Tamandua tetradactyla: one gene and its partners. The main gene of each other region encodes a partner of the protein of the gene in region 2 in a complex. Links are inferred from orthologs where the notes say so. Each region holds a gene or a part of one and is shown on either strand. Other genes may lie near its edges. The genes, in order: DDX46, SF3A1, HTATSF1 and SF3B4.

Evidence for each region.
Region 1: SF3A1 (region 2) and DDX46 share a complex: the UniProt entries of both Homo sapiens proteins name them as parts of the 17S U2 SnRNP complex. The link is inferred for Tamandua tetradactyla from reciprocal best matches to the Homo sapiens genes SF3A1 and DDX46.
Region 3: SF3A1 (region 2) and HTATSF1 share a complex: the UniProt entries of both Homo sapiens proteins name them as parts of the 17S U2 SnRNP complex. The link is inferred for Tamandua tetradactyla from reciprocal best matches to the Homo sapiens genes SF3A1 and HTATSF1.
Region 4: SF3A1 (region 2) and SF3B4 share a complex: the UniProt entries of both Homo sapiens proteins name them as parts of the 17S U2 SnRNP complex. The link is inferred for Tamandua tetradactyla from reciprocal best matches to the Homo sapiens genes SF3A1 and SF3B4.

What each region holds. Positions count from the first base shown.
Region 1 is NC_135346.1:13,854,034-13,861,598, reverse strand, and holds the start of DDX46 (putative ATP-dependent RNA helicase DDX46), read right to left. Parts: upstream 3,017-7,565; 5' UTR 2,791-3,016; coding exon 2,774-2,790; intron 1-2,773. UniProt on the Homo sapiens protein: Component of the 17S U2 SnRNP complex of the spliceosome, a large ribonucleoprotein complex that removes introns from transcribed pre-mRNAs.
Region 2 is NC_135331.1:32,556,046-32,562,941, reverse strand, and holds the start of SF3A1 (splicing factor 3A subunit 1), read right to left. Parts: upstream 3,011-6,896; 5' UTR 2,870-3,010; coding exon 2,807-2,869; exon of another isoform or gene 2,715-2,806; intron 1-2,714. UniProt on the Homo sapiens protein: Component of the 17S U2 SnRNP complex of the spliceosome, a large ribonucleoprotein complex that removes introns from transcribed pre-mRNAs.
Region 3 is NC_135353.1:22,881,489-22,888,551, forward strand, and holds the start of HTATSF1 (17S U2 SnRNP complex component HTATSF1), read right to left. Parts: upstream 3,017-7,063; 5' UTR 2,946-3,016; intron 2,769-2,945; 5' UTR 2,700-2,768; coding exon 2,514-2,699; intron 716-2,513; coding exon 535-715; intron 1-534. UniProt on the Homo sapiens protein: Component of the 17S U2 SnRNP complex of the spliceosome, a large ribonucleoprotein complex that removes introns from transcribed pre-mRNAs.
Region 4 is NC_135330.1:5,899,495-5,906,507, reverse strand, and holds the start of SF3B4 (splicing factor 3B subunit 4), read right to left. Parts: upstream 3,011-7,013; 5' UTR 2,921-3,010; coding exon 2,887-2,920; intron 2,878-2,886; exon of another isoform or gene 2,574-2,877; intron 2,420-2,573; coding exon 2,291-2,419; intron 2,058-2,290; coding exon 1,515-2,057; intron 975-1,514; coding exon 768-974; intron 1-767. Other genes in the region: MTMR11 (myotubularin-related protein 11), read right to left, coding at 4,237-4,383, 4,687-4,980, 5,465-5,647, 5,924-6,097, 6,393-6,559. UniProt on the Homo sapiens protein: Component of the 17S U2 SnRNP complex of the spliceosome, a large ribonucleoprotein complex that removes introns from transcribed pre-mRNAs.

The DNA of each region.
Region 1 (7,565 bases), on a different chromosome or scaffold from region 2:
TGGGTGTCACCAAGATATCTGGCTGGAGCAACTGCAAAGATAAAGATACCATTTATTAACATGGGAAGACTGAGGGAGGTGCAGACTTGAGGGTAAGTGGGTGGGAAATCAAGATTTAGGTATCCAAATGGTGATGTAGAGTAGGTACTTGAAATAGGAGTCTGGAATTCAGAGAAGAGGTTTGGGCCAGAGAAATGAATTGGGAAATAATCATCAGTGTACATCAGTATATTTAAAGCTATAAGCCTGGATAAGAACACAAGGGAAAGAATACACCTGATTATCCCTCAAGCACATCAAATTTAATGTATAGAAACCCAAATCATTTATCATCCCAACTTCCAATCACATAGGCTCAAAACATTATCTTCAATATTTTTCTCTTCTTTCATTCTATACAACCAATGAAACTCTAAGTATAACTAATTTCACCTCCACAATTTCTTGCATCTTATTTCTAGTCCACTGCCGTTAGTCCTTATCAGGAGGCTAATCTACTTAGAATATTTTAAATGACTCCTGGTTTTTCTGTTCTGTTCTCTTTTCCCTTAAATCTGTCTTACTCATTGCTGCTAAAGCAGATTCTGTTAAACACACACACATATCACATATACACATTTCTTACTGAAAATCTTCAAAGGCTCCCAAGCAGTCTTAGATTCTAAACTAAACCTACAATCCAAACCCATCTTCCACAGTCTGGGCCCAAATTCCATTCAGAACCTATCTCCTCCTACTTCTCTTGAATCTTCATGCAACCTACATATATAGAGAGAAACTGGGCTCCTTAAATATTTCTCTAACATCCTGCTCTTTCCCACTCTGAGCCTTCCATTATTCCCTGAAACACACCTATAGAGCAGAGGCCATGCAAGGCAGAGGTAGGGAAAAAGGCCAAAGGGCTAGAAGGGATGTTCCTGTGAAGGACCCTTCAAGAACTACTAAAGAGTTTGGACTTCATTCTGGAAGTAGTGGAAACTAACAGAGATTTTTAAGCAGGGGAACAGCATAATCTTATCTTCATTTTAGAAATGTCACTCTGGTTGCAGTGTGAAGGTTCTATAACTCAGGAGATCAAGATCAGAGGAAGAGGAACACAAAAATTAAACAGAATTTTCATGATCCAGCAATTTCACTCCTAGGTATACAACCAAAAGAAGTGAAAACAGATACTCAAACAAAAGGTGGAAAGAGCTCAAATGTCTACCAACAGACAAATGGACAAATTGTGGAATATACATACAATGTAAATATATACATGGATTGAAGAAATGAAGTACTGACACATACTATGACATGAATGAATCTCCAAAACATTATGCTAAATAAAAGATGCCAAAGAGTCATATATGGTATAATTCCATTCATAGGAAATATCCAGAGTAGGTAAATCCATAAAGACAAAACACTGATTGGTGGTTGCTAGGGGTAGGGGTAGGAGAGAATGGGGAGAAACTACTTAATGAATATGGGGTTTTATTTTGAAGTGATAGAAATACTTTGAAACTAGACAGATGCAGTAGCTACACAATACTGTGAACGTAACAATTGCCACTGAACTGTTAATATTAAAGTGGTTAATTTTATCTTACATGAATCTCACTTCAAAAAATTTTTAAAAAGGAAAATATTTTTACAGCCGTTAAAAAAAAAATCAAAGATAATCAATTCAGGGAAAAAAAAAATTTGAGGCAGGTGCAATGGTCCTGATTAAGGCCTGAATTAAATCACAGTTAGGAGGAATGCAGAACGGGTGCAGAATCAACTGGACCTATGCAGTGAGAGAGAAGGTTGAGTCAAATAAGTATCACTTCCACGTTTCAGGACTGAGTGGCCAGATGACTGCTAATACCTTCACTAAGATTTAAAAGACCGTCAAGGGATTTTCTGTCATTATGGAAATACTCGTTATTTCTATCAGGTGATGGTTATATGGTTTAAATGCTACTAAATTTCAACAAACTATACTCTTTAGCTTTGTACATTTCCCTGAATGTTGATTATACCTCAATAATCTACTGTTAGCATGGAAAAATAAGCCCTCACAGTCCCTAGATATAAAGGTTCCTTCAGTCACTAATACATACACAGCAATCACCTAAAAATAAAAACTTCAAGGTTCCGAACCAGTTATCAGCAATATAAAGTTTTTAAATGGTCTCATGGCTTTAATAAGATCTCCCAATCCATAGTTTCAAAAGGATAGAAAGGAAGTAACAAAAAAAAAAAAATCTATTTGCAAAATAAATGACCGCGCAATAAATATTTATCGTAGCCCAATAAAAGCCTAGTCACATACAGAGCGTTGTAGGTGATGTAAAAATATCTGTCCACAGGCTCGTTTCAACTGACATAGGAGAACACTACACCCGCTCACAGAACTAAAATACCGAGCGATGACACCAACTAAATGTTGCAAACGGGAGGCGAAAAGAAATTCTACTGGGATCACCACAGTCTGAAGGGATCAAAGTCGGCTGCGTGGAAGTGGCGGGATGTGGAGGCCAATCACTGATGTCCCGGGAGGGTTGTTCCGGTTCCCGAGGCTCGAATCACCCGACCGTAAGGCAGGGAAGATGTGGGATCGCGGCGGCCCAAGAACAACCATTCCCTCAACCCAGGAGCCTCCAGCCCTATCAGCCCTTCCATTAGCCGCAGGACCGCGCTGGCCGCACGTGGGGAGCCGGCCCGGCCCGGCCCCGCCGCGACCTCAACTCCCGCCTCTTCCCCAAACCAAATAGAAGCCGCGGTCCGGCTCGGCGCGCTATCTCACCGTGACTCCCGGCCCATGCTGCCGCTCGCAGGAAAGCCGGCGCCCTTCGGGACGGCGCGCAGGAAAACGGGACACACTGGAAAATTGTGCTGCCCTAGGGACGCGGGCAAGCACCAACACTAAGGAATGGCAGCAGCCACAGCGGCAGCGTCCATTCCAGCGCGGCCAAAGAAGACAGGAAGAGTCGGCGCCGAGGGCAGAAGGAAGGGAAAAGCGACCGGAAGCTGCTGCCTCTCCACAGCGCCACTGTCGTCAGGAGGCCGAGTAGCAGCCGCGCCCCTAAAGAAAATGGCTTCGCCGGCTTCTCGCTGCGCTCTGGTAGAAGCCTGGGGCTGGTTCGAAGATGCATTGCTGCGCCTCCGCGTGGCAGGATGTGGAAGGGTTTTTCCTCCATTTCCGCCATAAAGCCGCCAATTGCTGTACCAGGACCTGCACAGACATACATCTTACTCTGCACTAAATAACGCTACCAAACGTCTCCATTCACTTTCCCCATTTGTTTATATATTCATTCATTTATTTACAAGCAGTTACATGCCAGGCATGTGCTAGATGCTTGGGGAGATTACAGTCTAGTGTAGGCAACAAAAGACACATTACTGAAAACAGTCAGATATAATACCGCAAGCAGAGGCCCGCCAGAAGACAAGGCTTCAGGGAAAAAATAAAGTTCTCTGAGGAAGTGATCACTGACGTGAGGTTTGAAGACGAAGAGTTACATTTGTGGAGAAAAGAAAGAACTAAAACTACACCAGCAGAGTTGTAAAAGTTCTCAAAATGGCTGCACTGGGAACCTTTTTTAAATTTTTGTGGATACCTGGGTTCTATCCTGATATTCTGATTTAATTAGTCTGGAGTGCTTCTTGAGCAATGGGAATTTCTAGGCTTCACGAGTCTTCTAAAGTACAGCCAAGGTTGAGAACTGGCGTAGTAGAACACATCAAGTCGTTGACAGCTGTTTTGCAGAAAACCGTAATGGAGTTGGGGAGAGGCTGTCACTTTTACTTTACATGCCTCTGCACTATTTTACTCTCTTACACCTAAGGGTGATAGGAACATTCTGTATCTTGATTGTGGTAGAAGTTGCACAAAAGTATACATTTGTCAAAATCCACTGAACTCTTGAAAGGGGTTAAAACAGGAAGTTTTATGTTGTATGTTATCACAATATTTTCTTTATTCATTAAACTGTAGTCTTTAAATTGGCACATTTTATTTATGTAAATTTTACTTCTGTAAAGTTGATTAAAAAAAAAAAATGAAACAAGTGGGACTCCAAAACTACCTACCCACTATTTCCCTAAGGCATACTGTTCACCTCTGACAGCAGGCAGTAGCGTTGAAAAGAGGTGGAGACTTGAGTAAAGAAGTCTGGAACTAATGTGTGACAGGATGGACACTAAAGAGGGTCAGGTATCCAAGGCACTGTAAATTGAAAACAATTGACAATTGCTTGACTGTGGGATGAAGTTAAGAAGGATGGATTGCATTCCAAGAGAAATAGGAAGCCAATAGTGGTTTAAACAGTGGAGACAGTAAAAAAGTCAGATTTGAATATGTTACAGAGGAAACCCTCAAAACAAGCTGATAAATTTGCTGTGAGCTGTGAGGGAAGACAGGGAAAAAAAATAACTCCCAGATTTTGAGCCAAGCTATTGTGGATTGCAATAATGTTATGGAGATGAAACGGATTTGAGTTTCATCATGGGAGCGGATTTGAAGGAGTAAAGAAACAAAATTGGTGATTCTGTTTCAGTCATATGATGTTTGAGATGCCTATTAGATATCCAGAAAGAAATAATGGCTAGTTAAGGGAATATATGAATCTGGAGCTCTAGGGAGAAATAGAGGTTAGAGCGATTAAGAGTCATCAGCATTTTATAGGATATATAATATGTAATGCTTGGAGCTATGGAACTGGATGGGACCATGCAGGGTAAATGGGAAATAAGGTCTTTAACTTTTGAATTTGACACAATTTAAATATTGTTTAGAATATTGCATAGAACCACAGAATTAATGGTCCAACTGGAAAGCTCATTATTTTAAAAGTGAAAATACTGGAGTCTTCCGGGTCAAGATGGCGGCTTAACAATGTGCGCGTTTTAGTTCGTCCTCCAGAACAACTACTAAATAACCAGAAACAGTACAGAACAGTTCCCGGAGCCACGATAGTAACCGGACACACAGTGTACCCCAGTCTGGACCAGCTGGACCAGCCGTGAGCACCCTCCAGAACCGTGAGGTCCCAAACCTGCGGCGGCCAGCGCCCTTCCCACACAGGCCGCTTCCCAGAGGGGAAAGGAAAGGACTTTACCAGCAGCAGGGACTGGGCACAATCAAACACCAATTGTGGAACTAATTAACAAATTTTGACTCCTAAAAATAGGCCCCCAGCTTCGGTGAACCTGATCAAAGCAGAGGTTGCTCATTTTTGCCCCAGCGTCAAGGGGGCAGGACTGACAGAAAAGGGGGGAAAAAAGAAGGAAACAGAGGTTTTTGTGACTGTGTATCTACAAAGGCTTGACTGCCTCTGGATACAGTGGCAGGACTTTTCAGGCTGCAACTGCTTTGGGGGGCATATCTGGAGCCTATGCCTTCCCCAGGGGAGGGGTGAAGCCCAACTCAGGTGGAATACCTCCATCAAGGAATTCAGACACCAGGGCTTGGTAATTTGAAGTCATTAAAACCAGCCTACAACCTCTCCTGTGTCTCCACCATGCCCCCAGCAGGGAGAGTCTGCCAAAGTTAAAGGCACCGCATCATCTTATGCTGGTGGGATCTGCAGTCAGACAAGCGCCACACACAGGGCAGGATAAGAAAAACACAGTTCAGAGACTTCACAGGAAAGTCTTTCAACCTGCTGGGTCTCACCCTCAGGGAAAACCGATGCAGGTGACTCTTTCCTCCTGATAGGAGGCCAGTTTGGTCTGGGAAAATCTGGCTGGGGTCTATAATATCTAAGTAGACCCTCCTAAGCGTGTGTGGGGGAAAGGCACCACACAAGCAGGGCAAGAAACAAGAAAACAAGAACTGAAAAATTCTCCTCTGTTAAACAAAACTTGAGCTAGAGGTCCAGATAAAGCTGAACAGAATGTCAAGGAACAGATAGACAAGAAATTCATTCAGTAAGAAAACCCTAGATAAAAGATGTGAAAGCAATCTCCAGAATAAACTAATTAAGGTAGTTAAATGCCTAGACACCAGCAAAAAATAACAAATCACATTAGGATAATTGAAGATATGGCCCAGTCAAAGGAACAAACCAACAATTCAAATGACATACAGGAGCTGAAACAACCAATTCAGAATGTATGAACAGACATGGAAAACCTCATCAAAAACCAAATCAATGAATTGAGGGAGGATATAAAGAAGGCAAGGAAAGAACAAAAAGAAGAAACTGAAAGTCTGAAAAAACAAATCACATAACTTATGGGAATGAAAGACACAGTAAAAGAGATGAAAAAAAAACTATGGAAACCTACAATGGTAGATTTCGAGAGACAGAACATAGGATTTCAAAACTGGAGGACGGAACATCTGAAATCCGACAAGAAACAGAAACTATAGGAAAAAAATTGGAAAAATATGAGCAGGGACTCAGGGAATTGAAAGACAATATGAAGCGCACTAATATACGTGTTGTGGGTGTCCCAGAAGGAGAAGAGAAGGGAAAAGGAGGAGAAAAACTAATGGAGGAAATTATTACTGAAAATTTCCCAACTCTTATGAAAGACTTAAAATTACAGATCCAAGAAGTGCGGCGTACCCCAAACAGAATAGATCCAAATAGACATACTCCAAGACATTTAATAATCAGAATGTCAGAGGTCAAAGAGAAAGAGAGGATCTTGCAAGCAGCAAGAGAAAAGCAATCCATCACATACAAGGGAAGCCCAATAAGACTATGCGCACATCTCTCAGCAGAAACCATGGAGACGAGAAGACAGTGGGATAATATATTTAAATTATTAAAAGAAAAAAACTGCCAACCAAGAATTCTATATCCAGCAAAATTGTCCTTCAAAAATGAGGGAGAAATTAAAACATTTTCAGACAAAAAATCACTGAGAGAATCTGTGACCAAGAGACCAGCTCTGCAAGAAATCCTAAAGGGAACACTAGAGACAGATACGAAGACACAAGAGAGAGGTGTGCAGAAGAGTGTAGAAAGGAAGACTATGATTAAAGGTAAAAAGAAGGAAACTTAGATATGACATATAAAATCCAGAAGGCAAAATAGTAGAAGAAAGTACTACCCATGCAGTAATAACACTGAATGTTAATGGATTAAACTCCCCAATCAAAAGACATAGTCTGGCAGAATGGATTAAAAAACAGGACCCATCTACACGCTGTCTCTACTCAAAGGACACAAGGCCAAGGACACAAATGGACATTTACACACCAATGTTTATAGCAGCATTATTAACAATTACCAAGAGATGGAAACAGCCAAAATGTCCATCAACAGACAGTTGACTAAACAAACTGTGATATTTACATAAGATGGAATATTATGCAGCTGTAAGACAGAATAAAGTTATGAAGTATGTAACAACATGAATGGACCTAAAGGACATTATGCTGAATGTGATTAGCAAGAAATAAAAGGACAAATACTGTATGGACTCACTGATATGAACTGACATTAGTGAATAAATTTGGAATATTTCCTTGGTAACAGAGACCATCAGGAGATAGAAATAGGGTGAGATATTGGGTAATTGGAGCTGAAGGGATACAGATTGTGCAACAGGACTGAATATAAAAACTCAGAAATGGACAG
Region 2 (6,896 bases):
TATTGGAATATCCATATTAAGTGACCCAAAAATTCCTAATACTTTCCCAACTAGCTTCCTTTTCGTAAATAAAGGGTCAAGTCCCTCATCTTAGAAAAATAAGTTTCTCCCCTCCCTTTGTGTTCATTTCTGCTACTAGCTTTCCCCTGCCCTTCCTCTGGTAGCTAAACATCCTGAGTTCTCTCAGTCTTGCCATTCCTACTTCCTGACCTCCCATTTGGTCCCCATCCATTTCACATGCTCTTACCAAAGTCAAAAACAACTGCCTTCAACCAAAAATAACAGTTATCTGGGCATTTGACCAGTGATCACTCCTTTGCAAAGCTCTCCACTCAACTCCCAGACCCCATTTTTTCCCATCTTTCCTTTTTACTTTCTGACCATCTGTGCTGGTTTGAATTTTTTGTGTACCCCAGAAAAGCCAGGTCCTTTAATTCTCATTCAGTATCACTGGGTGGGCTTTTTGATTATCCATGGAGATGTGACCCACCCAATTGTGGGTGGTAACTTTTGATTAGATGGTTTCCATGGAGTTGTGTCACCACTTATTCAGGGTTGTTTACCGGATCCTTTTAAGAGGGAACCATTTTGGAAAAAGTGTAAGAGCCACAGAGCCCACGCAGCCAGAAACCTTTGGCAGTGAAAAAGGAAAACACCCCCCGGGAGAGTTTCTTGAAACATGAAGCAGGAAAAGAAAGCTAACTGACTTTGCCACGTGTCCTTCCAGCTGAGATAGAAACCCCGAACTTCATCAGCCTTCTTTGAGTGAAGGTAACCTCTTGTTGGTGCCTTAATCTGGACATCTTCATAGCCTTGCCTTAATCTGACATTTCCACAGCCTTAGAACTGTAAACTAGCAGCTTAATAAATTCCCCTTTTAAAAAGCCGTTCTGTTTCTGGTATATCACATTCCAGCAGCTTGCAAACTAGAACACCCATCCTATCCAAGTTTCCTTCCTGGCTCCTGTTTCACCTCCCGCCCTCTAAATTTTGAAGACTCCAAATTTTGTTCTTGGTTCTCTTCATGGAATTCCTGCTGTCGTCAGCAAACCACATCTTCTATTTCCCCTATCACACCTAGGCTGAACAATCCCCCCAAAGCAATCTCCTAGCCCAGATCGCAGTTACATGCCACAGAGCTTTCAATCCAACTGACTCCTAAGCACTTTCATCACTGGACCCTTTCCTTTTGAATGGCCTGGCCAGACACTTGGGCTTTCTCTCCCTTTGTCAGCCTCCTCATCTAATCCCTAAGGATAACAACGGCTAACATTTATTAGGCACAAAAATAGGTCCCCAATGCTTAAGTATTTTAAATACATTAACTCTTGTAACCTTTATAAGCAGCCTATGAGGGAGGCGTTCTTATACTTCCCATTTACAGGTGACCAAACTGAGGCATGGAAAGCTTAATTGGCCCAAATGGCAGAGCCAGAATTTGGAAAGAGTACTCTGTGACAAGGGATTGCCCGTCCCCCTTCCTCAAAATCTAAGCCAAGTCTTCAGCAGTTAAAAAAAAAGGACTGTCTTCTGTCATCTTAGCAATTCTCCACACCAATATCTGAATTTCTAAAACACAAATTTGTCACTATCCTGCTTAAAACCCTTCCTATTCACCCCTTGTCTACAAGAAAAAAGGTCAAATCCTCTGAATACCATCTCCTACCACCACCTTCCTCTTTCCCATCCTATGCTCCAACAAAACTTAGATTTACTCTTGACCAGAGGCATCATCTGCTTCCTACCTCACTTCCAAAGTGCCTCTGTGCTTATCGTTATCAGATATTATCTTGTTTATTCTTTCCCAGTGCCTGGGAAAATGCCTGGGACATAGAGGCACTTAATTATTTATGCCAAAGGCATAGACTTCTTCTGTTGTGTTTCAGTTGTATTCTGAACTGAAAGCAGTGGTCAGCATATAGTACGTGTGCAACAACTGTTTGCTGAATGAATGAAAAATTGTATTTCCCTTTCCCAATCATCTACACAGTGAATTCTTATGTATCCTTCTAAAAGCAACTTATTTCACACTCCTATGAACTTTCACTACTTTAACCTCCCCATCAAAGCAATGTCGATTAAATAACCTTCTCATACCGGCCACATACTTCCATTACCCAGTATATCACTCCACGCTACAATTATTTACACACAACTTTCCCCCTCAGCTGATCGAGAGCCTTTTAAAGTTCGGCCTGAACCGTATCATTTTCGAGATGGGGACAAATATCTGTTGAGTATTCATGCCTGTCTGCCTCCATTAGTCGGTGAGTTTTCTAAGGCAGCGGTTGTGCTTCTTTCATTCCAGCAACTTTGGAGGTTGGCATGACGGCTGGCTTAGAATAAACACCAAGGAGATGCTGAGAATTAACACTCAAATGTGGACTATGCAGGCTGGAAACTCAGAAATTACTGGGCAAAGCTAGGGGCAGAAAACCGGGACAGGGGTTGGGTCAGTGTTTCTCAAACTTTAATGTGCATATGAATCACCTTGGAACCTAGTTAAAATACAGATTCTTATTCAGAAGGTCTGGGGAGGGGCCGGAGATTCGGCATTTCTAACAAGCTCCCAGGTGATGAGGCCGATAGTCCGCGGGCCACACTTTGACAATGACCGTTCAGAAGAGGCCTCTTCGCTACCAGAAGGCAGCGCGGCGCAGGAAGCGCGCTGCCTCCTGGGACTTGCAGTCCCTCCAAGCCCTCCACAGCGGCAGCTTCTTCCTGCATGAGTGAGGAGAACCCGCGCTGGAGGGGAGGGTCCAGGCCTAGGCTCGGGTTGTCGATCGAGGTGCGGGGGGCGCGGTACCTGTTTGGGCTCGGCGGCCACGGGCGGCGGAGGAGGCACCGCCTGCACGGGTCCGGCCGGCATGACTGCGACGCTGAGGGCTGCCAGTCCGCCTCGATGTCGATGAACAGTGTGGCGTCAAAACAGAATCCCCGCACGGACGGGACGACGAGCTAGCAAGATGGCGGCGGCCGAGCAGGTCGTCTCCGAGGAGGCAAGGCTGACGCACTTCCTGACACGCCCACCAGGTTCCGGTCCCATCCCCTCGGGCCGAGCTCGCGCGCTACGCCGTTGCCATGGCAGCAGTCCGGGTGCCAGGCTAGGGGTTGCTGCGCATCCAGGGAAGCCGCAGGCGCGCCGGGGGCAGTTCCATGAGCCGGCCAGACACAGGCTGAGGCTGCGACTTCCGAGAGGGGTGAGATATTCTACAGCACCCCGCTGGATGTCCCCGGCACTCACCCCGGGGCCCTGGTCCCCCTCCTTTAGTCTCAGGCCAGTTTCCTTCTCCCTAGACCCCGCCTCCCAAGGCCCCTTCCCATTGACCTCTCACTTTGGAGAGTCCCCTCCCTTACGCTCAGGCACTTCTCAGAGTCCCATTTCCCTTAACCACCTCATTCGCTTCAAGTCCGTCTCCTCCAGCTCCTCCCAACCCTATTCCAAGTCCCCCACACCCTTAATTCCCACGGGCCTGTCTTTTCTGGGTTCAATCCTCTTCCTTCCATAGCCCCACCCTCAGGCCCCACTGGACCGTCTCTTGGTTGCGTTAGACACCCCCCCCCCGCCCCCATCACAACTACTGGTGCGTCCCTGCATACCCCGCCCCTCACTCCCTTGTGGCACACTCAAATCCCGCCCTCCCGGCTTCCTTCTCAAGTGCCCTCATCCCTGTCCCCTTTCCCCTCCCTCCTAGCTCCAGAGCGTGGGGAGGGGTTGCCAAGCCAGTGCTTGAGCTTCACTTTTTCCACCTATTGATAGAAAGCGGTGCTCTCCCACACCTGCTTCCTCTTGAACGCGCGCGCGCGCGCGCGCACACACACACACACACACACACACACACACACACACACACTCGGCTTGTGTCGTCGATGTAGAATGATAACGGTAGTTAGGACTTATTGAGCATTTACCCTGAGCCAGAACCTGTTGGAAACACTCCGTGCATTGTATCATTTATTCTTCAGAGCAACCTGTTCACAGATGAGGTCAGTGAAGTTCAGAGTTGGCAGAATGGAGCTCCAAACCCAGGCCCTTCTGGTAGTGCAGTTAGCTATTCAGTTTTCATCACAAGTTCCTTTCCGTGTCTCCAGGGATCCAGGCAATTAGAATCCCTGGGTCTGAGATGGATTAACTGCCATTTAGATGGTTTTTGGGTTTCCAAGGTTTATTTTTTTAATTTTTTTTATTTTGCAAAATGACATAATACAAAAAAGCAATACATTTCAAAGCATACCTCAACAATTAGTTGCATTTTTAAAAATATTTTTATTGAGATGTCTTCACACATGCACAGTTCATCCAAAGTATACAATCAGTGGATCACAATATCATCACGTATTGTTACTCATCACCATAATTTTTAGAACATTTGCATCACTCCAGAAGAAGAAATAAAAAGAAAAAACTCATACATCCCATAAGCTTTACTCCTCCCTTTCATCGACCACTGAGATTTCAATCTACTCAATTTTTTTTTTACCCATTATCCACCCCATGTTATTTATATATATTTTTTACTCATCTGTCCATATCCAAAGTGTTTTCAAGGTGGTGATCTTGAATCTTAGTGTGCCTACTGGACCAGGAGGGAGGCATAATCTTTACCACTGGGGGTAGGCTAAGAGGGAACAGCTCCTACTGTTCTCTGGTAGGCAAAAGCCAACCTTGAACCCGAGGAGAGACAGAGTCAGCTGCTCTGCCTACCTAGTGGCAGTGCTGACTCCATAAGCGTCCATCCTCTGTGCCATCACATGGACAGTGCATGGTTGGCAGTTTGGGGCTGAAAGTTATACTCCAGGCCCAGGTAGAGAGAAAGACCGTGTCAAATGCTCCCTCACTTGACACACACCTAAGTGATTCTCAAACCAGTCTTATATTTGCATAGCCCCAGTTTTCAGAAGAAACCATATAATTACCTTGTATATTTTTCAATGTTAGATTTTCCTCTTGTATATTCTTCTTGATGCTTTGCATCTACTGATGCTGCTTCTCTGAACTGAAATCTAATGGAAGTTGGTATTGCAATTGGCCCCGGATGGCAGCTGAAGTTATTTGAAGGTGGAACAAAATGGTGTCTTCCATGAGGAAGCTCCATGAGTCCAGGTGCTTGGCACCTGAATACGCCTCCATCTAGATTGGGACCTTCTGCTTGCTTCATTTATCTCTTTCCTCCTACATCCCAGGAAGGAAACATAGAACGTTTCAGTCTGTTTTTTTTTTCTTTCTTTCCTGTTTGTTCCTTATACTTCACTCCTTGGGGGACATGAAATCTTATGGGCAACAGTATCTCACAAGAGGCTGTCGCCAAGTCAGCACTCCAGTACCACTGTGTGTGGGGTGTAGGCCGGTGCTATAGGAGAGTATGTTCATGTGTGCTATGGGGTGGATATGCATTTCCCTTCCTTGGTGATGGAGCCTATGGAGCTCATAGACCCAAGACTTGCTACAGCAGGACCCTCAGACAGAGATGGTATCTCTTTGAGGCCAAAGCTCCATGTACCTGCTTCATCCCTAGTTTCCAGCATGTAGTAGGTACTCAGGCAATGCTTGCTGAATGAATATGAATCTCATATACACTTGCAGTGTCCAATATGTTAGCTGCTGACCTGTGTGGCTATGGGAAATTTGAAATGGTTGCTGGCTTGAATTGAGATATGCTGTCAGTGAGACAGTACAAAAAAAGAATGTGAATTATCTCCTTAATAATTTTTTATTGATTTCATGTTGAAATGATAATGCTTTATTGGTTATTAAGTTAACTAGAATGCACCATCAAAATTAACTTACCTGTTTTCTTTTTATTTTTTTAATGTGGCTAGTAGAAAATTTAAAACCCCGCCTATATAAGAGATTTTAAATAGAGTTGAGAAGTCGTTCTGGAGGTTACTCTTATACAAGCTTCAGCCAGATGTTATAAATTTCCATGGTGTCCCAAGACCCAACCAAGAGTATTCCTGAAAACCGTAAAGAAAACCCAAGATTCTATCTATGACTCTATAAAAGTTTTACTTATTAAATTTATTTTTCAGAAACATAAAACCTCCCAATTGTTCCTGTGCCTGAAACCTAGAGGTACCAGCCTCTCCCGGAATATCAACCATTTGCATCCCCTACCCCATAAGGTTCGACATCCCTTTTCAACATGAAGAAGTTAGAATGATCTTTGCCAAAATATCCCTGAAAATCAGGGGAATGATCAAATGAGAGGGAGGAGTTAATAACAGAGAATTGAGATTTAACAAAGGATTGTGATTACTAAATCATTATATAGAGATTTCTTTGTAGTTTCTAGTGTATTAGAACAGCCAGAAGGAAATACTTGAAATTGTGGAACTGGAACCACTTGAAATTTGTTCTATAACTTGTACTTAGAAGTTTATTACTTTTCTGTATATTTGTTATGTTTCATAGTAAAAAATGTTTTAAAAAAGTTCACCCATAGCTCACATTATATTTCTTTCGATAGTGCTGCTCTAGAAGCTGCATGGACTAAGAACAGAGATACTGGACTCAGAATCCCAGCTTCCTGAGTGACCTTGGGCTAGCCCCATAACTTCCTGGGGCCTCAGCCTCCTCATTTGTGAAGGAGCCAATAACCCCGCCTTCTTTTGCTTGTTGTAAGCATTCAGGGATTGGCACGGAGTAGGCCCTTCAGTCAAAGCTCACCTGGCTGAAGCATGTCCTCTGTGCTCAGCCTCAAGACAAGGGTCTCCCATCACCCCATTCTTCTAGCCTGGAACACCCTCCCCTTCACCTTCTGGACAGCCTGCTCCTGGCCCCCAGGAAGCCCTCCCTGACTGCCCTCTCACTCTCCATTCCCAGGAACTAAACAGCTGCTTCAGTCCGGTTTCTGCATTGGAGAAAGGAAGCTGGCACTCCAATGAACCTCTGGTGC
Region 3 (7,063 bases), on a different chromosome or scaffold from region 2:
AATCCTCCCAGAAAGGATTTTTCCAGAATACAGGAGGCTAGAAGGAATAAATATATTTTTTTATCATGACAATCAAACTTTTTTTCTGTTTTGTGAAAAATAACATAAATACAAAAAAGTAATAAAATTCAAAGTACACTGCCACATTAGCTGTAGAACATATTTCAGAGTTTGGTATGGGTTACAATTCCAAAATTTGAGGTTTTTACTTCTAGCTGCTCTAACATAATGGTGACTAAAAGTCATATCAATTTAATAATTCAGCAATCATATTCATTTAGAAAATCCTAACTTCTCTGTGTAACTCCACCATCAACTTTCATCTTTCTATTCCTCTCTTTAGGAGTATATTTGGGCTACGGCCCTTCTAACTTTTTCATGTTGGAAGGGGCTGGATCATGACGCTATCTTAAAAAAAACAACACTTCTTATTATTCCTTCAAAGCTACCACAAATTCTCCCAAAAATTAACTATATATACATGTACATTTTTACTTTGAAACTCATGTTTTTTTGCAAACTAGAAACACTTGCCTGAATCAGCCTTTCTTTTTTCTCCCCTCTTTTTGGGATCAGTGGGTTCAGGGGCCTTTTTTTGTGAAGGTTCCTCTGCAGTCCTAGCACTCATATCTTGTACAGTTGCAGTAGAGCTAGAGGCGCCATTATTAGAGAAGCCATAATTGGCCTGATATGTTGCAATGAAATCTTCAGTAATCTGAACAAGAGATTCAGCACATACACATAAGAAATGCAAAATTACTTCCTCCCACACAAAGTCTAAACTATATTAAATCACAGCATATTCAGTTATACAAATTAACATAGAAGTGTTTCTGTGACACTTAAAGTATAAATGCAAAATTTGTCATCTTATATAGGGAAACTGCATAAACTGAAAAAAAATAAGGCACAGGCCCTTGGATAGCAAAAACAAGCATGTGAGAAAACATTAAGATACTTTTAAGTGAAGTTAATACCTTTAATATTGTTTCATTTATAAATTAGAACATCTACTTAAACAAAGCTACAAGTACATATAATGAAGTACCAGATAACAATAGGATAAAAATCGAGAGACAACTAATAATCTAACCATAAAATCAATTTATGTTACTATAAAGATGCACAAATACATGTATATTCTAAGTATTTAAATATTTGTATGCAGAAAGCACGTAGACTGGAATCCTGATTCAATGAATAGAAATAAAACTAACAATTGCAAAACTATATGCTCACTTTAACTCTATCACTAATTAAATCACATTATCATTTAGCGGCAGAATAAATTAAGGACAAACCCAACTCACATCTATGTACCGTGCCTTTAGGGGATATAAAAACACAATGAAAGAATTGTACTTGTATCTTCATACCAGTCAATGTTAGGCACACAAAGGAATAGGGAAAATTTAAACTCAAAGTTTGAAAAGATACAGGCTTTCATAGCATAAAATACCAAAGATAGAGTTACAAATTAATTCATTATCAGATTACTGTTAAAAGTACTACTCAGAGCAGTGCAACAGTGGCTCAGTGGCAGAATTCTTGCCTGCCATGCCAGAGACCCGGGTTCGATTCCCGGTACCTGCCTACGCATTTAAAAAAAAGTACTTCTCAGAAGGCTGAAAAAACCACATCTGCACTCCAGCCAGCACTATCAGTATAGAAGTGAAAAAGTAATTTAACAGTTGGTAAAAATCGGTACATATACACAAATACAAAATGGAAAAGAAAAAAAATTTAAATAAATTTTATTAAATAAGTCAAATTACACAATGGAGACATGTTTTTTATTATTGGCTTGCCAGAGTGCTATTTCTATTTTTTTTTTCCTACCCATGAGACTCAGGTTAACATAGTACTTTCACCGCCATGCTTACAGAATCAAGCTGAAGACTAGTATTTTTCTTCCAAGCTTAAATAAAACACCTAATAATTTCCAAGTATTCCAAACACATATAGACAGATCTTTGCCATCCATATTCTGTGCATCTCTTGTCACAGTTCTGCAGTTACATGCATCAGAGAGTCCAAACCTAGGGGCCAAATTTAGTAGAAAAGAGCGGTGCAGACAGTCCAATCAATAAAGATACATAAACGGCTATCTTTTTCCTTAAATCAAGAATTGCATTTTGCGCATGGTACATAAACTAAAAATGTGAATTCCCAGGATAAGTGAGGGTAGCAACGAGAGATGAACAGCTACTGTATCTGTTCTTGGTATTTTTCCTCTTTGCAATAAAAAGCAGTCACGGATGTAGTAACCAACTGTGACCTCCACCGATAAAATTAGTAAGGCAGAGAAGAGATTTAATTACATTTAAGACATTTCCCTAAAGATTACGTTCCTCTACACATCGGTTCTGCAATAGACAACAACAAAACGAAACGTCACTATCCACGGGGGCTAAAACCAAAGTTCTCACTCAGTAAAGAAAATGTAAAAGAAGTGCCCCGTAAGGCTGGCCAGGCGGGCCCACTCTGCAGTGGCGCCGGTGCCACTTTATTACCTTGGGGAACCAAGCCTTCTTGTCCAAATCCCACTCGTAGGGGGTGTCGGCCGGCTGCTGCTCGCAAGCCTCAGTTTCTTCGCCAGGATCTTCTTGGTTACTGCCGTCCTTGCTGTCCCCGTACAATTCTTGCATTCGCAACTGCTCATCAAACTCGTCGTTCCCATCCAAGTTGTTGCCGCTCATGTTTCCTACCTAGCCCAGCGGCAGGGTCCAAGCGAGTGAAGAGGCCGCGAAGCGAGATGACGCTGGAGGCTAGTAGAGAAAGAGAGGTCCGCCCCGGTGGCCCGCGCACGGCCGCCCCACCCCGCCCCCGGCGCCCAGCAGCCCCCGGGAGACGGGTGCCCCCTAGGTGGCCGCGCCGCCCCCAGCTCTGCCCGGCCTCCAGCCCGCGCGCGCTGATGCTCCCAGCTCGGTCACGCCGCCGCCCACCTGGTTCACTCCGCCGGGCCTCGGCGCCGCGGCTCTGTCCAGGGCGCGGCGGAAGCGCGCGCGCGCCACCGCCGCCGCCGCTGCCGCCACGGAGCGGGTCTGAGGCGACCGCGGCTCCCGCGGCAACGTCAGGAAATTGCTTCAAAACGGGGCCCCGCTCAGCCTGACGCAGTCGCCATTGTGGGCGCGTCGCGACGTCGCGGTTCGCGCCGACACGCCCCCAGGCGGCGTCCACATGCGCCGACGCGCAGGCGTGCGGGCACGGCGTGGGGTCTTGGGCGCGGGGGGGCGGGGCGCCAGGGAGTGCGCTGCGCCCGCGCGTGGACGCCCACTGGGCCCGCCTCTGGGCCGGGGGTGGCCGCGCGGCTCCCGCAAGACCTCGGAATCTCAGCCGGCTGCCGGGTGGGTCGGCTCGCGTGGTTCCCAGAAGGCGTGGGAATATTCCTCCTAGGCGGGCGCCATCTTGGAGAAGTGGGCGGGGCGGGCAGGACCGGCTACTTTCGCAGTGGGAAAAAATCGTAACCCTTTCGCCCAGAGGCCTTTCCCTCCCACCTAGTCGTGTCTTTTATTTATTTATTATTTCCCCAGCCTAGGCGCCTGCTCTTGTCATCTTGGTATTCCAGGCGCCTAGCGCCAGGGTATTGGTGCCTAATCCATGTCGAGTGAGTGAATGAACGAATGAACGATGGGTGGAAGGACCAACCTCCTTTCCACTTCTCAGTCACCTCCTTTATCTGATCTTACCTTTTTCCTGCTGGAGATAAACTCTGGGAAACTGAGGCGGGGCTGCAGTTGCTTGTATCTTGTTCTCCAGGATTCAGGAGTGCTCAGGGCCAAAACATGAAACTTGAACGAACATCCAAGCGTCAGTATCAGCTTTAGTAGCCAACTGTAATTTTGGCTTTCTTTTAGAAAGACGCAGTACGCTTTGCTCTAAACAACCTTTTTTCCCCCTGAAAATGGTGAGCCCATCTTAAGTGGTGCAAATACGAATTTTTAATTGGGCAAATAGTTACTGAACTCGTACGAGGCGCCAGGCACCTGACTCGCCCCTGGGGACCCAGGGGTTAACAGGACGGGCACTGCTTAGGGAAGACAGGCTTATGTTGGTTGGTAAATGTTATCTTGAAAGTACCAGACGCTGGAGAACAGCGTTTCTCAAAATTTTCATCTCAGAACCCCTTTACACTAAAAAACTATTGAGGACCCCAGAGAGATTTTGTTTATGTGGATTGTATTTGTCAATGTTTGCTGAAAACATTTTTTAAATATCTATTGATTCATTTAAAAATAATAATAAACCCATTGTGTGTAAGCATAAATATAACCCAGACTTGAGGGTGAGGAAAGTCTTCCCAGAAGAAATTATTTCTAGTATTCCACTGACCTTTGCTTCTAAACATAACAGCTGAGTGTGGATTCTAGAAAATCCTGCATCCCTGCATATAACAGTCGTGTGAATCTATGGTTTCAACCATAGCAAAGTTTTAAACTAGCAGTTTGATTTTTTCAATTATATTTCTTTTTCATAAAATTCCTGTTTGCATACATTTTTATTATATAGATAACACGAGGTTTGTTAGACTCATTTAAACATTGCTAAATATTTCTTCCTGGATTCAAAAATAGTATACAGCTGTTTTCAGCAATGTGTTATTGGGCTCCCATTTCATTCCTGAGTTTAATGGTAGGTGCTGATATTGTGCATAGCTCTACTGCACGTGAAGCTCTGAGTGCGTGCTGTGCCCACAGCCCCGTTCTCAGCAGGTAGCCAAAAAGGTTCCATATGCCTAGTTCCCATGTAACCCAGCTGCCATAGCCCAAGGGCTGGCTAGGGGCCTGTGAGTTCATCTAGCTGGGTAGCTCTGCATTCTAGGCTATATTTGACTGAGCCAATACGGTTCTCTCTCAGGGAGTTTGAGCATGAAACATACGGAGAGGGATGTTGTCAGGGTAGCACAGAAGCTGAGATACCCACAGGGAAGGCTGAAATGAGTACAGGAGGCCTGCTGTTCAGAATTTCCCCTAGAAGTGAGAGGAAAAGTCAAAGCAACAACAGAGGGTCACTGAGACCCCATAGTAACAGGGCAGTGGGGTTGGGAACTAAGTACACTTGTACCTGCAATGACGTTCTGTATGGCAATGAGAACTGACAGTTGCATTTCTAACGTTAGCATTTTGTGGCGTGGTTCCTGTTTGTTCTTATTTCCCTGTGTATTGTAGAATAACTCCCTAGTAAGTGATGTAATCTGTCTTTGCAACCTTTCTTTCTCAACATTTTTCTCCAAGTCTGAGAAGTATTCAAGGTTAACAAGCAAAAGGCGAGGTGGGGAGGGGGGCGGCTGAGAGGGGAGCTGAAACTCAAAGACTGGAATGTAGATTGGCCTCTTCAAGGGGCTACTGGACCCAGGAAGAGGAACAAATTGAAACCCAGACAGTCTGCTTTTCTCTGAATATCTGCTTTCTTCTTTTTTCTCTAAGTTTTCAAGGGTGATTTGTGTGGTACTCCAGTCCTGTAGGCTACAGCCTTCTTGGTGGATAAAAAAATGCATTAATCTACAAAAGCAGAGACGGCTGGTTGAAAAAATCACCTATCTGGCCTAGGAACTGTCTCTGGGAAATTACTGAACTTACCAAACTAGACTTTTTTTTTTAGTGGTGCTGTTAAGCCCATTCTGTTCAGGAATTTTTCTGTCCCCACTTCCTGTAATCCCAAAATTTAGTGGAAATGAAAGTAACTCCTTCTGAAACAAAAAATTTGGAGGACCCTTGACCTAAAATGGTTAAAACTGCACAAAGTATTTAAACCTAAATTTGCTATTCTCAGCATGTATGTCAGTGGTAAATGTTTTGCAATGCTTTCAAGTTCAATGTTAGGGACTGGCTCACTGAACGAATTGATTATACCTAACTTTGTGACCTTGTTTTCATGCTTTGTAGTGTATTATTATGTTCCATTATTCAAAGCCTTGGGTCAGGGAAGACCTTGAGCAAAACTGAGAAGCACATTAAATTTGTTTCTCATGAAGCCCACGTCTTCTCCATTTAGGACCTTCTCCAGGGAAATGGTGCCACAATAGGCAATGTAAAAGAAATTTTGTAGATTGGAGCCTGTTTGCAAGGTTAGCCCTGACAAGGATAATCTGTTAAAAACAAGAACAACAACAAAAACCCAACCAACCCCATTCCCCCAAAATCGACAAAACAAAACCATGAATTTTAAATGCGACCCCCCAACTTTGGATGGGAAGCTGATGCCCTATAAAATCACTTAGGGAATTATTTTAAATCAGATCCCTAAGTCACTTAGGGAACACTGAGAATGAAGAAAGTTCTTTGAGCTCCATTTTTATCAGCTGCTAAAAGGTTGTCTTGGCTTTTGTAATCTGGTATTATCAAGCTTTTATTTCTAAAATGTCACACCTAGGGGAATGAAGATGTACACTTTTACTCTGAGTGAGGAAAATAATGAATATATTTTTGCATACTGTGACTCGAATATAATTTGAATTTTGAAACTAAAATGGGTGGTCAGTTATATTCTTTCAGAAGTATTGTTTTTAGAATAGAAAGTTACAGAAAGTCATTCAAAACTTTATTTCATATTTATTTTGTCCCTCTCCCCCCACTTATTACAGTGTCCATTTTGAAACAATAATAATACAATATAGGCACCTCCACTTTAAGTAAACCAGTTTTACAGAAATTTAAAGTCTAGTGTTAATATATATCCCCCTTTTGAGCCACAGGATTAACGAAAGTTCACAGTTACACAAGCCATTTAAAACGCAAAACTACCAAAAGCACGCCCAACAATCAAGTTTTTAAAAATACAGTATTAACAATTATACCAAGTGTATGCTTTAATTTGCCCCAACAAAACACTTTCTGAAAGTAACACAAATCTAAGTCTGACATGTCTGTTGACAATAGTTGTTTGAAATAATCATTAAGAAGCTTATAGTGTTAGCAAGTAGGAGCTAAGGATAGAAAATCAGAACCTTCCATCTGATTTCCAAGGGCAGATTAGGCCATACTCCTACGGGACTTAGGCACACATTGGGTTAATAGAGTTGAGCAGGAAGATGATATGATAACGACTGCACACCTAGGTATTA
Region 4 (7,013 bases), on a different chromosome or scaffold from region 2:
AAGCTGGTATGAAATAATGAGGGCCTGGACTAGATTACTGGCAGTGGGGGTAGATGCCAGAGATATTAACAAGACTTGATATTAAGAGCAGAGTGATAGGAAATAGGCAAACATGACTCCCAGGTTTCTGAATTAAACATCTGAAAACAAATCATGCTAGAGGAAGAGTAGGTTTGAAGGGGAGGTGGAGAAAATAAGCTCAGTTTTCATCATGTTTGGGTGGAGGAGCCCAAGGGATAGAAGAGTAGAGCTGTTCAGGAAGCAGCAAGAAGATCAGGGGCTGCAGTGTGTCAACAACCATGGAATACAGATGAAGATCTAGGAGGCATCGGTGAGTAAGTAATCGAAACTATGGAAATGTGGAGAAAAAGAAAACCAAGGATAAAAACCTAGGTACATGCAAAGAAAAAGGAGCCTATTTAAAGTGGCTGAGATTGAGGAGTCAGACAGACAGATAGAAAATCCAGAAAAACAGAAGTCAAAAGTGACAAGAATTTCAAACAGGAGGACATGGCCAATTTCAAATACAGCAGAGGTCAAGTCAGATAAGGAGCAGAAAAGTCGCCAAGATTTGGTAATTTTAGGATGGTAGTTGTTAAGGCAAACAGAATGAAGTTTTTATAAAATAAAAGACAAGGAGTGATGTTTTTATAAAATAAAAGACAAGGAGTGCTCTGAGGGACAGAGGGCAGTTACAAGAGTGGTGACAGAGAAATAGCACACCTCTGCCAAGATCATCCCTCCCTTTCCCAGCAGAGAATACCTACCTGGATGGGGCATCCCACCTGGCGGGAATGGGTGGGGATGTGAGTGTCCATGGCCAGGATGCCCAGCCCCTGGGGTTCCTGCTGATGGAGGGCCATGTCCTCCAGCTCCAGGAGGCATAGGTGGTGGGGGCATGGCTGGCGGTATTCCGGGTGGAAGGGCTCCAGGAGGTGGTACTGGGGGTGGGAAGGAGCCAGGAGGAGGCATGCCTGTAAAGGAAATGGAAAAAAAAAAAAGAGTTAATGGTAGTAGGGTAAAAATGGTAGTAGGGAGAGAATGCCCTAAGCTGGCCTCTCTAGGCACATTTACTGCTTTTCCTCTCTACCCAGCTCTCTAAAGTCAGACGGAGCATTAGATTCAAACAACTTCAACCTTCTAGAGGAATCCAGCAATGAAAGTTGTAAAGAAATTCCTCACCACACCCATCACCCCCAATTCCCTTCTAATCACCCACTGACTCACCGTCTCCCTTTCTCCAATTCTTTTCCCTTGTGCCCCACACCTCACCAAACATATTTTCAATGAAAAACTTTACCTAGTGAATTGCCCAACACAGTGAACCCTAAGTCAAACTACAGATTTTAGTAAATAATACAATTATAAAAATGAGCTTTCATCAATTGTAACAAATGTACCATACCAAGGCATGGTGTTAATAATAGGGGAATTTTATGGGAATCCTGTATTTAATGCTTGATTATTTTATAAACCTACAATTATTCCTAATTTAAAAACAAAAAAAACTTTACCTGGTGGAGGAAGCCCAGACCCCAATGATGATACCACAGGATTGGGGGCAGAGGGTGGAGGGGGTGCATCTGCAAACAGCTGGTGAGGGCGGTCAGCCTGGGATAGTGGGTTCTGGGCTGCCAGAAGTCGTTCAGCTGCTGAGCCATGGCGTTCACCCTTAGAGTCCTTCTTGAAAGCATAGGACACAGTGATAGGGCGGTTACAGAGGTACTGCCCATTCATGGCCTCAATTGCAGCATCCGAAGCATCAAATGAAGCAAAATTAATAAAGGCATAACCCTTGGAGTTGCCTGTATCAGGGTCCCTCATGATCTTGGGGGTTTGCAAGATAACCCCAAAGGCGCTGAACGTATCATAAAGGAGCTTCTCATCAATCTCTGGGTCCAGGTTCCCAATGAAAATGTTGGCTCCTACATCCAGGTTTTTATTGTGAGCTGATGCCTTGTTGACCCGTATTGGCTTTCCATAGAGTTTGATCATGTTCATGATCTTAATAGCATAGTCAGCATCTTCCTCACTCAAGAATTCCACAAAGCCATAGCCTGAGGAGTTTAAAAGAAGAGAGGTTAACTACTGAAGAGAAGAGATTCAAAATGAGATGTAACTCACCCCACCCCAAGGCACAAAGAACAAAAAAGAAAATAAAAATCTCACTTCAATGAAAAGCTTCCAGGAACAAAAAGGAAAAGGAATCTTCAGGCTGTTCATCCCAAAACAGTGTTTATAGTGTTGCCAGGGGCGGTCTGTTCCCAGCATCTTTTTCCTTGTAACTCACCTTGGTGCTGGCCAGTGACTCTATCCTTTGGCATATGGGTGTTGACCACTGGCCCTGCCTGGAGAAACAGCTCCCATAGCAGCGGTTCGCTAACCTTCTCATCCAGGCCCCCCACGTACACAGTGGCATCTGGAGATTAGGGTGGGGGCGTGAGAATGACAGGAAATGGGGTGACAGGAACATGCGATAGAATCAAGGCAGAGGGATTGGGAATGGGGTTGGGGGATAGGAGCAAAAAGGCAACAGAAGGAAAAAGAAAAATCATGTTAGAGTTAGATTAAACCTTAAACCTTCTTCTTCCCAGGACTGAGAGAATCTTCTGAAATCAAACTTGTGTTCTGCTGAAAATTCTACGTGTACGTGTGCTGTTTCTTAGATGCAAACAAAGTCAGCAGCGGAATAGACGGACATACAAGGCTTCGTGCCTACCGGCCCCAAGCGGCACCCGGCCGACCCCCCGCCCCCCAGCAGGCCTGGCGTTCGGCCCCGCGCCCTCCGGGGGTAACAAATCATCCGCCCCGGCGGAACCCCTGCTGGCCCACGTCGGGGCTATCCAGCCCCGCTCGCTCCATTTCGGGATCGTCCCCTCCAGTCACCCTGGTTCCGCTCAGAAATAGGCCCGGCCGCCATGGCGAAGGCGCTCCTGCTGTCTCCAAACACTGGCCCCGCCCTTTGACCCCCACCACTTCCACTTCCGGGGCGGAGGCGGACGTGATGCGAGGCGGCGGGCGGGGCCACAGCGGAGGGGCCGGAAGCGGCCGCGGCCATCTTAGGAGCCGCTGAGAGTTGTGGTCTCGCTCGTGTTCTCTGTCGTGCGCCAGGTGCCGCTGCGAGGCGCTGCGAGCGTCGGTTCCCGGATGACCAAAACCGGGATGTCCAGACCCAGTTGAGGTTGTGCCAGGCGTTAAAGGGTTAAACTGTTCCCTGAAAATGTAAATACGAAATCTAAAGAAACAAGCCTTTTCATATATGTTGGGGCCAGATCCGTTCCCCAGAAGAGGGTGTGTTGCGGAACCCCCACCAACCCAAGGACGCGAAGGCAACCTTCGCACAGTCCCGGCTTGGGCTTGAAGTATTTCGTTTTCCCTCAGAGGAGGGGACTGCAAAATTCTGAGGTGGGAGTGTCGTTCTTGGCCAACCTGAGGCTCAGTGATGGGGCGTGACGAAGCCCGGGCCCCAGTAACAGCATCTTTATTAGTTCCAGGCTCTAGCTCCACCTGCCCCTAAGGCACGGAGAAGAAAACCATTTTCCTCAGTAGCATAGGAATTCTGCAGAGCCTCACCTGATCCGGTTCTCTTTTTCCTTAGCGATAATATGGTGAGTCCCTTCCTCCCCCGAGTCACACCCACCCTCCACCCACCACTGTTTGCTACCTGTTCAAACAAAACAATTCCAGCAATGTGTATAAATACGGTGCTTTAATGAATTCCCTAAATAGAAATGTCACTACAAATATAAACAGTTCGAGGTGGCAGGGTATCTCCCATTCCCATGGAAAACTGTAAAAAAAAAAAAAAAAAGAAATAGTAATTGGAATTAAAGAGGAAGCAAGAGGGGGTAGCAATGAGATCTCTAGGCCATCTTGTTGGGACTGAGTAGCATCTCTGATCTGTCAGTTTAAGGGCTGGCTATCCCAGAGGGGTAGACTGGCCTTGAAAACAGAAATCACCTTCTGTATTGCTTTGATAGTTTTTGTTTTTACTTTTCAGTTTCTCAAATGACAAGAAATAAAAACTAAGTCTTTAGGAATCAAACAGGGCAGAATAAGAGTTGGAGAAGGCTAGCACCACCCACCTGCAATAAAAACTTGACACTACTGGCTTTTTAAAGGGCTGGAGTGTGGAAACTGAAGCCCAAAATCAGATAAGACAAACTGAGGGATTAGGCAGAACCCTTCCCTCATCCTGGACCTCGCTGTGTCCTACCTGTGAGAGAGTCAGCAATTTCAATGGGATTGGGTGAGAATGGAATTTGGTTCTTTTTTCTTGGAGTGATCCTCAGGAGATATTCTTGGTGTCCACTTTTTTAATAGCTCCTGAAGATGAGATAGCTCATCCTGGAGGCCACAGACTGTGGGGGCTGAGAGGCCAACCTGGGGAGAGGGCAAAGGGACAGAGAGAAATATTGCAGCTCTACACACTCTGTTTCTAAGACCTGTCCGCTTCTGCTATCTTTAATTCTCTTTTCTCTGCCAACAGAGCCCTAAGGCTCTATTTTATCTAAGCCACAGCAGTGTTCCCACACCCTACACTCCCAGACCTGCCCAGTTTGATACCAGCAGGAACGGTACTTCACTTTCCACTCCACCCCAGCTCTTTGCCTTTCCAGCTCCTGTTCATCTAGTCCCGTAGTCAAGCCCTTTCTCCCACTCCCAATTGCTATCTTCTTTTCTCACCTGGATCTCAGGCCGTCCCCTCAGGTAGCAGCGTCTCCATAGCCTGATCTGGGGTCCCAGATATCCAGGGCGCAGCAGCCCAGGGGGCAAAGGGCAAGCCCCCCAATGTGAGGGGAGACCCCACTCCTGGTCTGCTAGGCTTTCAGAAGAGATAGCAGGTCGAGGGAGCCAACGAGAAGAGACTGCCAGCAGGAAAGGACTGTCCCGCCAAGGACAGAGCTGATTCAGGGGTGTCAGGGCCCCTCTAGAGAAAAGCCATACAGAACTTGGAGGTCCAGGAACCATGAAACTTGACTACAGGGGAAAGGGAAAACAATTGGTAACCTAGAAACCAAATGATCCAGTTTCTATAGGTTCAGTTTCTATGGCCCCTTCCTGACTCAGTTTCCCCAAACTGAGTCAGGAAGAGGTGTTGAGCTGCCCCTCTCACTGCACTAGCGATTGAAACTACAAATCGTCCCCTGAGAACTCTATTTACTCTCCTCATTAAGCTTCAAACTAGGCCTCAGAGATGACTGAAGTTGATTTTTAGAGAAACTTGTAAAATTTGTGGATAAGAGGAAGATTAAATCAAAGATGAGGACAAAGATAATAAGGCTGTCCTCTATGATATTTTAGAGTTTATGTCTTCCTGGGAACAGTCAGGGGCCATAAATGACAGCTGTAGAGGAGGAGTGGGATAACTTCCTCAGGGGAACTCAGTGAATCTTCTCACTTCCTTACCTATTAGGATGAGTCTGGGAAAGTCAAAGGAATTCAGGAAATTTAGATGACTCACCTGCTGCCTGGGGAGCCAGGAATCTGGGTGGTACTCTGGGTCATAGCAAGGATTTTGGAATTGCAGTATTTGTTTATTGCTGTAGCGTAAATCCCAGTCCCAGACAGACAGCTGTGAGTTAATAGAGTTCCCAGCTGGGGGCTGGGAGTATCCTGGGGTGTAGACTTGTGTATAGGAGTTGAACTGGACAGGGGAAGTTTGAAAAAAAAAAAAAAAAGAAAAGGATGATTAAGCAAAAAAATATATAACTCTCCCAAATCTAGAGAGAAATCATGAAACCCAACTCTTATGCCAGGAATCAGATGCAGGGCATAAATCCAGTCTGTTAAGTGAACATCACCCTCCCCTTCCCCACCGACAGACCTCACTTCTCTTGTTATAAAATAACTAAGGCTCAACTTCAGAGAGTAATTCTCAATGGGGTAAAAAAATGACAAGTCAAAAATGTCAGTCACTTACCTGTCCACCCTGCTTTCCACGTTCCCAGGGAGTATCTCTCAGGAAAGTCAGGGTGTCAGGAACCCTGACACTGTCATGAAGAGCAAGAAGGAAAAACTCAGAGAATTCAAACTCAGCTGGGAACTGCTGGAGGAGCTGCCAGACACAATCAAGGAAGAGGAGAAACACTGGGGCCTGAGAAGAGAGAAATTGAGAGTGTGGAAGGAATAATCGGACCTAAAGAGGCAAGATCGCAAAATGATGGAGGATGAGGACACAGGGAACAAGGGGCACTAAGAAGGTCAGGGAATGGAAATCGGAATTGAGGGTAGTAGGGGATTGTGGAGCCTCAGTCATCTGGGTCTCCCTCCTGCCTGAGCTTAATCTTAGAACCTTTGTGATCTGATTTTCCTCCAATGGATTATAATTTTCTCATCCCCTTACTTCTTTAATAGTACCCCCAAATGAACCCCCCCCCCCAAATCCTCACCTCCTCACTGGCCCCAGTTTTCCCAAGCCGTGTCAGGAAGGGGTGTCCAGCTGCCACCCATTCTCGTTGCACTAGTGATTGGAAGCCAAGCAGTGTTCGAGCTTCAGGGACTGAAAGCAGCTGGACGAGTGAAGAGAGGAGGCCATTGAAATCACGATCACCGCGCTCTGGGTGATAAAAAAGGGAGAAGGGGCAAAGAAGCAGGACCAAGAAACTAGGGCAGGAGAGAATGAGAAGAGGAAACATGGCAAGGAGAAATGAGAGGCACAGAGGTGAAAAGTTGTGGGTAAGCAGGATTGAGAGGGCACATAGAAGAAGTGAAAAGAAAATGAAAATAAAGACCTTGAATAACTCACTTCATAGACTCCACCCCATTAGAAAAATCCAGCTTCACAAGCTGGAAGCAGAATCACAGTTCTTTAACTTCCACATTGCCCTTCCCACCCTAACCATCCACTGATAAAAGGAGGGAGCGGAGGGGCCAGGAATCCTAGTGTTAGGGAACACAGCTATAGTGGGAGGGTGGAGGTAGCACTGAAGGGTGAGAGAACTCATAGGTACTTCACAGTAACTCCAAAGGAGAAAGCTTACACTAGAAGGAGACAAGGGAGCCTTCTGGGT